Drosophila melanogaster: one gene and its partner. The gene in region 2 interacts genetically with the main gene of each other region. Each region holds a gene or a part of one and is shown on either strand. Other genes may lie near its edges. The genes, in order: tutl and Kap-alpha3.

What was found.
Region 1: of Kap-alpha3 (region 2) and tutl, changing one enhances a phenotype caused by changing the other (phenotypic enhancement), as found in Drosophila melanogaster (one study listed by BioGRID).

What each region holds. Positions count from the first base shown.
Region 1 is NT_033779.5:4,281,539-4,286,356, reverse strand, and holds the start of tutl (turtle), read right to left. Parts: upstream 3,210-4,818; 5' UTR 3,105-3,209; intron 2,108-3,104; exon of another isoform or gene 2,055-2,107; intron 1,657-2,054; exon of another isoform or gene 1,599-1,656; 5' UTR 1,283-1,598; intron 1-1,282. UniProt on the Drosophila melanogaster protein: Essential protein that plays a role in the establishment of coordinated motor control. In the developing eye, involved in axonal targeting of the R7 photoreceptor.
Region 2 is NT_033777.3:9,573,680-9,579,397, forward strand, and holds Kap-alpha3 (karyopherin alpha3), read right to left. Parts: upstream 4,055-5,718; 5' UTR 3,969-4,054; exon of another isoform or gene 3,929-3,968; intron 3,795-3,928; exon of another isoform or gene 3,631-3,794; 5' UTR 3,589-3,630; coding exon 3,529-3,588; intron 3,470-3,528; coding exon 3,089-3,469; intron 3,029-3,088; coding exon 2,198-3,028; intron 2,134-2,197; coding exon 1,957-2,133; intron 1,891-1,956; coding exon 1,795-1,890; 3' UTR 805-1,794; downstream 1-804. Other genes in the region: Son RNA binding protein, read left to right, coding at 4,501-5,718.

The DNA of each region.
Region 1 (4,818 bases), on a different chromosome or scaffold from region 2:
TCAAAAATCATGTGGAATATAACCTATATCTGCTGCAAAATAGGTTACAGGTTAGGAAATCCCCTTGATAGATTGATAGAACAATATGTAAATATTTCGCTTCCATTGAATAATATTTTGTTTATACCAAACAGGAAAAGAGTATATACAAATCTCCGATAATCGAAGCTGTGACCCCAATTTCTTGTTTATGTTTACACTTATGGCGCGTCGCTTTTGCCTGCATTCGTGTGCGAGCATAGTTATCGCTATCGTTATCGTTATCGCCGCTAAGCGAGGTCGTAACTCGTTTGAATAGGTTACCAAGTGACCTTAGTCGGCAGTCACGCAAGCACCCACTTACAGCCTTTATATATTTACATGTAAATATCTGGCATGCACCAAATGTAATGGTAAATCGATCCACCGATGATTGCTGGCATTTCAGGGACCCGTCGACAGACAGGCCCAAATTTACTCCGTATTTCCTTGGAGTGGGCGTAGTAAGCCCATTTTGTGTGGAGCGAAATGGGCAAACAACTACTTCATTTATCAATATTAAGCATTTGTGGGGCGGGGTGGAAATTCGAATATTCGAATAAATGACTGCCAAGAGGCGAGTGGAGCGATTGAAGCGAAGCGCAAAGCCATGGATCCGTATCCGTATGGTGTGTCCCTCTATGGGAATTGCAATTTCCTGGCCAACGGAACCACTAATAACCCTTTGTCTTTATCATCTGTCCCCGTCTTTGTCGTCATCGGTTACACATGTTTGCTGCTTTGTTATTTCGAACTACAGATGGTCAGATCTAGCCACGCTGGAAGCTCCTCCTAGCAAGATACAAAGCCACAAAACCAATCAAGCCCCTCCATCCGTTTCGAGCCACCGAAACTGCAATCCCCTCTCGAAAACCGATCCCTTCGATTCCCGCCTGGCATTTGCCGTTTGTTTTCTGCTTTCTGGCCCAGTTCAGTTCGGTTCGGTTCGATTGTTTGTTTTTCTGGGCCAGAGTACTTTTTTCTGGCCTTTTGAAAATTTCGTAATTGAATTGGGCCCGTAATGCTCGCAACCGCACTTATTTACACTTGCCGATGTAATTGAAATTTCATAAATTTTAATTAAATTCTTGCCTGCGGACATTGGAGCATTTGATTGTTCTGTTCGATGTGTGTGCAATTGGCGATGTTTTAGTTTTAGTTGCTGCTGTAGCTGTTGTAGCTGCAGTAGTTTTCCCCGAGGATTTCGCTTACATTACAATTTAGAGTATATCGACATTTTGGACCCTAATGGGTGGTGACTCACCTCACTTGCGCAATCATTATACGACGTGCCCAGATCCAATTCTATAGTTGTGTACTGGCCAATTCCAAGAGTCCTGCACTCCTGGAGTCCTACAGTCCGGGAGTCCTCAAGTTGGTGAGTGACCAGGCGAGTTTGATTGCTCAAGTCGTAAAATCCGGGAGTTGTTTGCTGTTCGCCTTTCGTTTTCGGCGTTTACTGGGCGCGTTTTACACTTTGTTTACAGGATAATCGCATACTTTATGACACTTTCCACTTCGAGTACACTGGGCGTATGCGTTTGACGAAGGACTTTGAAACCGTTGACTTTTACGTGGGGCTGCACAAAGGATTTTTATGTTATTCCAATTTGATTGGGGGAAATGGTTGATTGAGTGCTTCAGAACAAAGGCAAAACTCATAAGACATAAGGCGTAAAATGAATGGCGATGCGAGGACTCTGCGTATAAACGCGCCTTTTATGCACAACAAATAAAATCAATACGGCGTAAAATCAAAAATATGAGCATGGGTTGTGGCAATTGTCACCACTGGGTCTGGTCAACAAATAAAGGTCCTTCGGCATTTGTGGATTTCACTGCGGCACACACTCCGAAACACGTGACTCATGGGTCAATGCGGTGGCTACGCCTTATATGTACGCCCTATACGAACTATACGCCTTATATGCATTATATAATTGTCACTTGGCGAGCTGCTTTATTAGCATCCTCCCACTGTTTTTTCCACTTGGTCGGGCCAAAATCACAGGTCGAAACCATAAACTGAAACTCACAGCTGTGCGTCGCCGCCACACCAATTGCCTGGCGTTTTTTGAAAACTCCGACTGACGACGGGCCTGTCGAACAGCTCGCTGGAAAATCGCGACGGCTGCACAGGCCAAAAAGCAGAAACAGAGAGAACCAGTTTTCCAAGGCAGTGGGGAAAAGTGCTCAGCGGGAAAATATGGGGTTTAATTTTTTGGCAATTTTTTGAGCAAGCTATGCTCGAAAAGTTATCAAGCTGGTGCTAAAACATTAGGATAGGAAACTTGTTGTTTTAATATTTTCAACGCTGCCTAACATCATTAGATATTTCCATAAAGGATATTGGTATTGATAAAGTTTTAAAAATAAATATTTAACAGACTCTTTGTTGAAACTTTAAATATTTTTAAAAATTAAAATATTCTTAAGTTTCTATATGCTGGTATGTCTGTTGGAAAAGGTCCTTCTATTTTCCCTTCCAAGCAATCAGCTGATGCGTAACGGCTATCTTGTTGGCCAAAATTCCCCAATAACGGTAACTGCTCACTTGCGCAACTGTCCTGGCCCGAAAAACCCCCCCATTGAGAACTTTGCAGCCAGTACAAGTTTTCAGAAATGTCTCTTATAACTCTCTGTCACTCTCTTTGCGATCCTTTGGGAAACTGGAATTTTTCTTGCAGCGCTGTTTTTCTTGGCTGTTCTGCTGCTTTTTTTTTCTTCCCCATTTTCAAGTTTTGCACCCGCGCGGGTGTGGTCCTGTTTTTCCGATTCTGGCCAAAGGAGCGTGAAAAGCGCCGAAAACGCGAGCGAATTTCCACTTCAGCACAGACACACACACATATGTACGCACACACACGCACAATTGGGAGAGCGTTTTCCCACCCCTTTTCCGGTGGTGATTTGAATTTGTGACGTTCCGCTTGATTGCCGCCCGCTTTTTGCTTTGTTTTTCTTTTATTCACTCATCATTTTCCATCAATTTGCGTATCCATAACTTGAACAATTTTCCTAGTCGCACACAAACACACGCACACACACACAGAGACACTGGGAAAAGGCGAGAGCGAGACAGCACTTACGGCCACTGAACGCTGCGATTGAAATGGGATTTCTGATTGCTTTGGACTCTACGGATTTCGTCCGCGTTCACGTACGCCGTGGTGGAACAACAATTGAGTACTGAATCTGCGTCAGGAGTGCTCGATTTGCCACTCGAAAAAGAGACGGCATTTGCTGCACGAACAGAGAGATTGCGAGAGAGAGAGAGAGCGAGAGAGCGCGCTGCTTCGGCGAGAAAGAGAGAGCCTATACTCTCTTATACTATATGATGCTGGCTAATGCCATATTCCGATTCAGCTTCGGGCCGAGCGAATGTGGCCAGCGAACCTGTCCTAACCCTTTGACATGGCTTTCCGACGACGACGGACCGGACAGCAGAGAACCACGAGAATTCAGGGGAGTGCAGTGCACTCGAAACAAATGCGGTGTAATTCAGGCCAGGAATATGTTTCCAGCAATTGTTCTTGTAGAAATGAGACCTAAGAAAACACCTAATACATTCAGATATTTGCATGATTTCCAAGGCTTGCTTGAATATTTGTTTTAGCGCTGCAGTTACCAAAACTCTTTGGTCAACACTTTACCAATGTTTTTTTTTTTTTGTGTGTGGGAAGCCCTTCTGCGCGGCCGCTCGGCTTCATTGAATAATTATCTCGAGTTTACCTGTTCTCAACTGTCGGCGGGCCCTTCGATGTGACTGTGACCCAAAAACCAGTTTCACCGCCAAACTCCCAACTCGTTTGGCGCTCAGAAAAGGCGAAAAGCGCCTGCGCAGCCCGCTCAAAGTTGAAAGAGTGAAGCCATGTGGAAATGTGTTAAGTGCCAAACACCCAAAACATTTCTGTTTGAGTAGCCAAAGAACCGTAGCGTAGGCCCCTGCCATGGGCCATATAATTGGATAATGCGAGCGAACCCCCCGCTTAAATGGCTTTTTAATTATGCCCAAGAATGTGGTACATCATCAGCGATGATCTATGATTTCTACCTGCATTTGGTGGTCCGTGCAGCCTCGACGGTCCATTCGCATCGTCACTTTTGGCCAGTCATAAAGTTCCCACAACTCAGGGTGAGCCTGACCTACGTTGTAATGCTTCAATTAGCCAACATCTGCTGCCGTGGCCGAGAAAACCCAGTTTCCCCGTGCTCGAGCGACAGAATATTTCCCTTGCAGACCGAGCGAGAGGAAAACTCCGCCACTGGAAGTTGGGAAATCAGTGCGACTGCGCGAAAATCTGCAAAGACAAAATCCTGCTGAGAGACGCCCTCAATATGCTGGCCTCTTTCTCTCTTTTGCTCTCTGAGAATCACCACCCGATTCGGCACCACCCACTCGCAACACCCACTTTTGCCACCCAACAACTTTGGCAAAATGTTTCGTTTTCGCTGAATTTCACTTGGTTCACAGGCCACTCTGGCGAATCCTTCGCAGGACCTCCTTCTGGTGCACTGGCACACACACACACACACACAAGAGAGTACCTACTACATATATGTTGATTTTGGCACTCTGATTTATGCATTATATTAGCGTTGATTTTTAGCTGCAATAAATCTGCACATAATCGGGGGCTACATGCTATAAAGCCATGCATGCCATCCCGTAATCATAATTCACCCGGTCCGTTAATAGGTCCTTCCCCACTCCCCCTCTCCCTAACACACCAACGACGAGCAAACCAAGTCACTAATTTCTGACTTCAGACAGGTGAACGCCTCCCAAAGTGGCTCGTTCGT
Region 2 (5,718 bases):
GAGCAAAAGAGAGAGCTAGCACCCACACAGCCGCAAACTCGAACAGCTGAGCGCGCTATTTTCTAACGTGTTTAATTTGACACGTTAAGGAAATACCTATACAATTGTACCTACAACTCGTACTTGACTTTCTAAAAAGTGCAAAAATCATGCATTCATCTTTAGGAACAGGTTTTTGCACGATCACAGGTTCATTAGCTATCGCACAACATCCTTGACCTTGAGGAGAGTGTGCCAATTTCCGCAATTTCCGCAGCAAAATGTTGACGGAAGCAAATGTGTCTGAATCGAATGCATCGCTACCAATACAAGTGCAGCATCTCTATAAATAGCAGGCAAATGCAAGTTTTTTAGGAGTCACGCGACAACAGTGATGCGCCATTTTTCACTAATACAAAAAAATTAATATCTAAATCTTATATTTATTAAATCTCACAGGAAATGACGTATTAAAACACATACAATTACACAATTATAAAAATAATTTTAGCACCGCAACAGCTGGGGTACTACAGCTAGACAATCTGCCATCTCAAATTCTAGTGTTGGTAAACGTTGTCCCGCCTGCATATATAAGTCAAAGTATACTATTTTCGAAAAATTAGGTAAATTTCAGTAAAAGATTTGTACTGCACGAGCTGGAACCACTTTCATAAAGTTAACTTTCATCACAGAATTCGGAATGTCCTATAAATAATTATAGAAGCCCATGTAGATGATGGGTAAGTTACACGTAAATATTCTGAGTAGTTCCAAAAACAACCGCCAGGCGAAACTTTCTTTATATGAAAGAACGAATATGTAAAAGTAAAATGAAGAGCTATTTATTCCCACACTCCTCAAGATTTAAAAGTAAAACATACATCACATCACTCAACTAAATCTAACTGATTTAAAGTATCCTATACTGTATACAGAACACTAGCGAAACTGATGCTTTGCAGATAAGTCATTAATACAATTTGATCCCTCAATTGAGGGAAACGCCCAGTCCCTTCTGTTGCAATCCGAATTCGATTTTCGATCTGATTGTTTACAAATATTTACTCGATCTGTTGCCATGTGAAAGCCGATTTTTCAGCTGCCCTGCCAGGTAGACGGGCAATTGCGCATTAATGGGAAACGTGCTCAAGTGACGCACTAGCTGAAATAAACGCTAATTATTAACAGCTCGGCCGACGGACAACTCGAATGCCTGGTCTTGAAACGCGACACACTTGTTCTTATAAAATTCCGCTTAACTTATCTGCCTGGAAACAAAATGATGAGTTGCCTTTTGCTTTTATCGTTTTCATGTTAGAAATGTATACATATGTAATTTCAATTACAAATCAGAAGCGTAAATATTTAAATAATTTCATATAAATCAAATAGGTCTACATTCTTTTTGAAATCTGTTTCTCATTCCTGTGTTTATATTTTGGATGATCTATAGCAGAGTCGCTTCAATCGGAGAAGTCCTTGCATTGCACATTCACACACCCAAGAGTGTGTGTATGTCTGAATTTTGTAATTTTGTTAACACAGAATTGAGAGAAGCTAAAACGGCTGCAGCGGATTATCCGTTGTGTATCCTCCAGAGTTCCTATTCTCGTCCCTAAAACGAACCCGGCTGTCTAATTGCTGCTGTGTGGTGGACAAAATATAATGCTATTATTATGTGAATTGGTTGACGGCTCGTCGGGCTTGTTCATACACAAGCGATTGTGTACGAATAAACGCCAAATTATGTGGTGTTGCACGTGTTTGGTTTTCACTTCACTGCTACTGCGCGGCTGCTTTCTGATTAAATCGTTAAAAGTTAAATGAGTTCATCGTTAGCCTATCGGCGTGTGGATCGAAATTGTATTGTGCGCCGTCGGAGGTCGGTGCCATGTTAGTCTGTTCGCCCTGTAAAGGATGCATCAAAAACGTTTTAGAATAATAACAAACGGTTGACTTAAACTGTTAGCTCACCTCATCAGTGAAGTATTGATCGATGATCTCATAAGCTAGTTTGTAGATTTCAACGTTTTCGTGGCTCTGCAGACGCTCGATCTTGGCCAGGCCCTCGCATTCCTCAATGCAGTTGGCCACCGCCTCAACATGAGAATCGGCCACTTTTAACATATTGTTCAGACCATCCAAAACAACCTTTAAAAAAAAGGGGAATGTGTTACTCAAAACAAATATGTGAAGAGACGCAAATTATACTTACATTTATAACTTGCGTATCCTGGCATGAAAGGAGGTCACAGAATGGCGGAATGACGCCCTCCTTGATCAAGGTGAAGACCTGTTCGCGGTTGCCGCTAATGGTCAGATTGCTGATGGCCCAGGCAGCCTCCTTCTGTGTCTGGAACTCGCCCTTGCTTAGGTTCTCGATAATTTTGGGCAGGAGACCCACGTTAATAACGGCCTGCACCTGCGATTGATTTCCAGCGGTTATATTGGAAAGGAACCAAACCGCCTCCTTTCGGATCTTCTCCTTGGGATGCGAGAGCAGGCCCGGGAAGTAGGAGAGCGCGTCGTAGTTGAGCACAACCTGTGTCTGCTCATCCGATCCAGTCACAATATTGCCAACAGCCCGCAGTGCGGCTGTCTGTACCTTGACCTCGCTGTTGCCCAGCAGTGGTATCAGCTTGGGTACAACTCCACTTTCAATGACCATCTGGATCTGATCGTTGCCACCGTCAGTCAAATAGCTGATGGCCCAGACCGTGTCCACCAGGATGTTCGTGTCGGTGTGATGAATGAGCACATTGAGTGCGGGCAGGATCTCATGAATGGTGGCTGTCGGGGGAGCCGGATCCTTGTTGCGGCACAAATTCACAATAACCCATGTTACATTGCGCAAGAATGTGATGGGGATGTCTGGCTTGATGAACGACAAAAGTGGCTGCACGACTCCGTGCTTAATGACAAAATCGCGGAGCAAAGGACCATCGCCTATGATGTTGCCCAGGGCCCACACGGCTTGTTCGCAAACATTGGGAGCGGGCGAGTTGAGAAGTTGAAGGAAGAGCGGCACGGCACCGGCGGCAACAACCTATACAGGATTATATTGCATTAAAACAAAGAAAGTGCTGAGAGGGAAAGCTGAACGTACCTCGTTGGTCTGAGCCGATGTGCCAGAGGCAATGTTGGTCAGGGCCCAGGCGGCCTCGAACTGGAGCATTGTGTGATTGTGTTGTTTGAGGCACTCCACCAGGATGGGCAGAATGTCGCTTTGGATCAGATCGTTGATGGGTGGATTCTTGTCCGACGACAGCAGCTTGCGGGCAGCCTGAACAGCGGCCAGTTGCTGTTCCGGCTTGGTGGCGTCTGCGGCTGCCTTTGCCAGCTTCTTCAGGTCAATGGACGAGGACAACTGCTCCTCCTCATCTGTGTTCGAGTCCAAATTGGGCACATTGCGACGCTTGAGAATGGTCTCTTCGCGCTTGTTCTTCCTCAGCTCAACGGTGACTTCATTTCTCCGACGTCGCATTTCCTGCAAATTAATTAATATTATAATGTTTCCCATTTCAGCGGTAACTTCTAACTACTCACATCCTGGTCTTTCCCTTTGTTTTTGAAGTTTTGTAAACGATTTTGCTCCATAGACGTCATTTTGTCTGATTTCCTTGTATAAGGGTTTGCTTTTTCGATTGGCTGTTAAAAAGTGAGTTTTTAAAAACTATTGAATGCGATGTTGGCGACGTACGCCTCCTAGCGTATTCGATGAACAATTAATAATTTGTTTCAATTGCACACCAGCCAATGGGAAAAATTATTCGCACCCACACCAGCGCACATCCACGAAAAAATAACGTAGAATCGACCAACACAGTTGCAGCATAACACGATGGCGCAGGCATTGAAAAAAGGAAATGGCGAAAAAATACATGAAAATTAGCAATGCAACGGGCGAAAAAAGTGTTTCTCTTGGTCCTCGGTAGAGGATACTTACGTTTTTAGCAAGTAAATCGGGTTTCTCCCACGACACATACACTTTCTACGTCTTTTAAAAGTGATAAAATTCTTTCCTTTTTATTAAAATTGCAATCAGTGACAACGACGTGAGTGAAGTTGGCTGCGGTTGGCAATTCGGGACTGCCCACTTATAGGCAGGGTCGATTGAAGCACCAATCGTCAGATCTGAATTTATGTCGACTTATTTTTTAAATTTAGAAATTTTAAGTTTACTCAGTTGGAGTTGTAAGCTTATGAACCAGTTGAACATTATTTAGGAAATATTTCATTTGTCTTAAAAAGCATTATAGCAATTCTTATTATTTAGGTTTTTTCAAGCAGGCGCTTGTCGTGACGGTACTATTACACAACTCTAGCAAAGTATCGATATCTTTGAGCCCTGCGAACTGTAGATACCATTACGAGTGTCATCGCTATTATTGAAACTTCTGTCCAAGCAAGACGTGCAGAAAAACGCTTAATCGCGAACAGCGACAAATTCGCTGATCTGTTGCGGTAATCTATTAGCATGCATAGACACTAGGACGATCCGCGCCCAGCGAGAGAGCAATGACGGAGAACACAGAGAAAGGGGCGAGCGTAGAAACGCCTCAAGTGGCGGGGTCTCAGACAAATCCTCCGGTTCAGGAGCCACTTGCACTGACCAAGATTCCGCCAATTAAGGTAAAGAGCGAACGACCGGACGCAGAGGTGGAGGCCAAACTCCGGGCCATGAATGCCAAGATCAAGGCGGAGATGGTGACTTTGATGCGGAGGAGCAACAGCAATGAACTGGGCAACAATGACGAGTCGGGGGAGAGCGAGAGCTCCGCGTCGGCGGACGACAAGAAGAACATTAAGCCTGTAAAGTCCTCGAACGAGATCCTTGCCGAGCTGTTCGGCGTATTCAATGCCGCTCCACCAGAGGAACTTCTAGACGACAATCTGTTCAAGAAAAAGAAAAAGGTGAAAAAGGAGAAGAAGGATAAGAAGGCCAAGAAAAAGAAGACGACCAAGTCAGATGGCGAATGCAGCGACTCGGAGGCGGAAGGCAAGCACAAGCATAAACGTAAGAAGCACAAACATAAAGACATCAGAGTCAAAGACAAGGAGAAGGATCGGGACCGGGACAAATCTAAGGAGAAAGATCGGGACCGCGTTACGGACAAATCAAAGGAGAAGGATCGGGACAGGGACAGGGATAGGGACAAATCCAAAGATAAGTTTACGGCAGCACAAGCTCCCTCCGAGAAGGAGAAAGAAAAGTCTGAGAGCCGGAAGCGCAGCGCTGTGGAGCCTTCCAGTCATTCCGAAAAGCGCGAACGACATGAAAGGGAGAAGCATCGCGACTGGGAACGAGAAAGGGAACGGGAAAAGGAGCATGAAAGGGAACGCGTCCGCTCCAACAATAGCTTTTACAACGGGCAACGTGAAGCGGATCGCTTGAAAGGATCTGAATCAGCGAGCACAAAGTCACGGCAGGAACAAGATCTCTCCGATATCTCGCTCTCCGATGAGGAGTCGTACCTCCGGGAGAAGGCTTCCAACGGCCGTAGACGGGCGCACAACAGCTTTTATGATGAAAAGGAGGAATTGTCGGTTTCACCCAAGCGTAACGTGCGCGAATCCAACACCAGGAGAAACCGAAAGTCAAGATCTCGCTCGCGTGACCTCGGCATAGACAAAAAGCGCTTGCTCGAGATTGCGCGACGAAATGCCATTAACATGTTCAAACAGGGAACTATGCCCGGTGTGGCTAACATGACTGCAGAGGTCAAGGACAAGGTT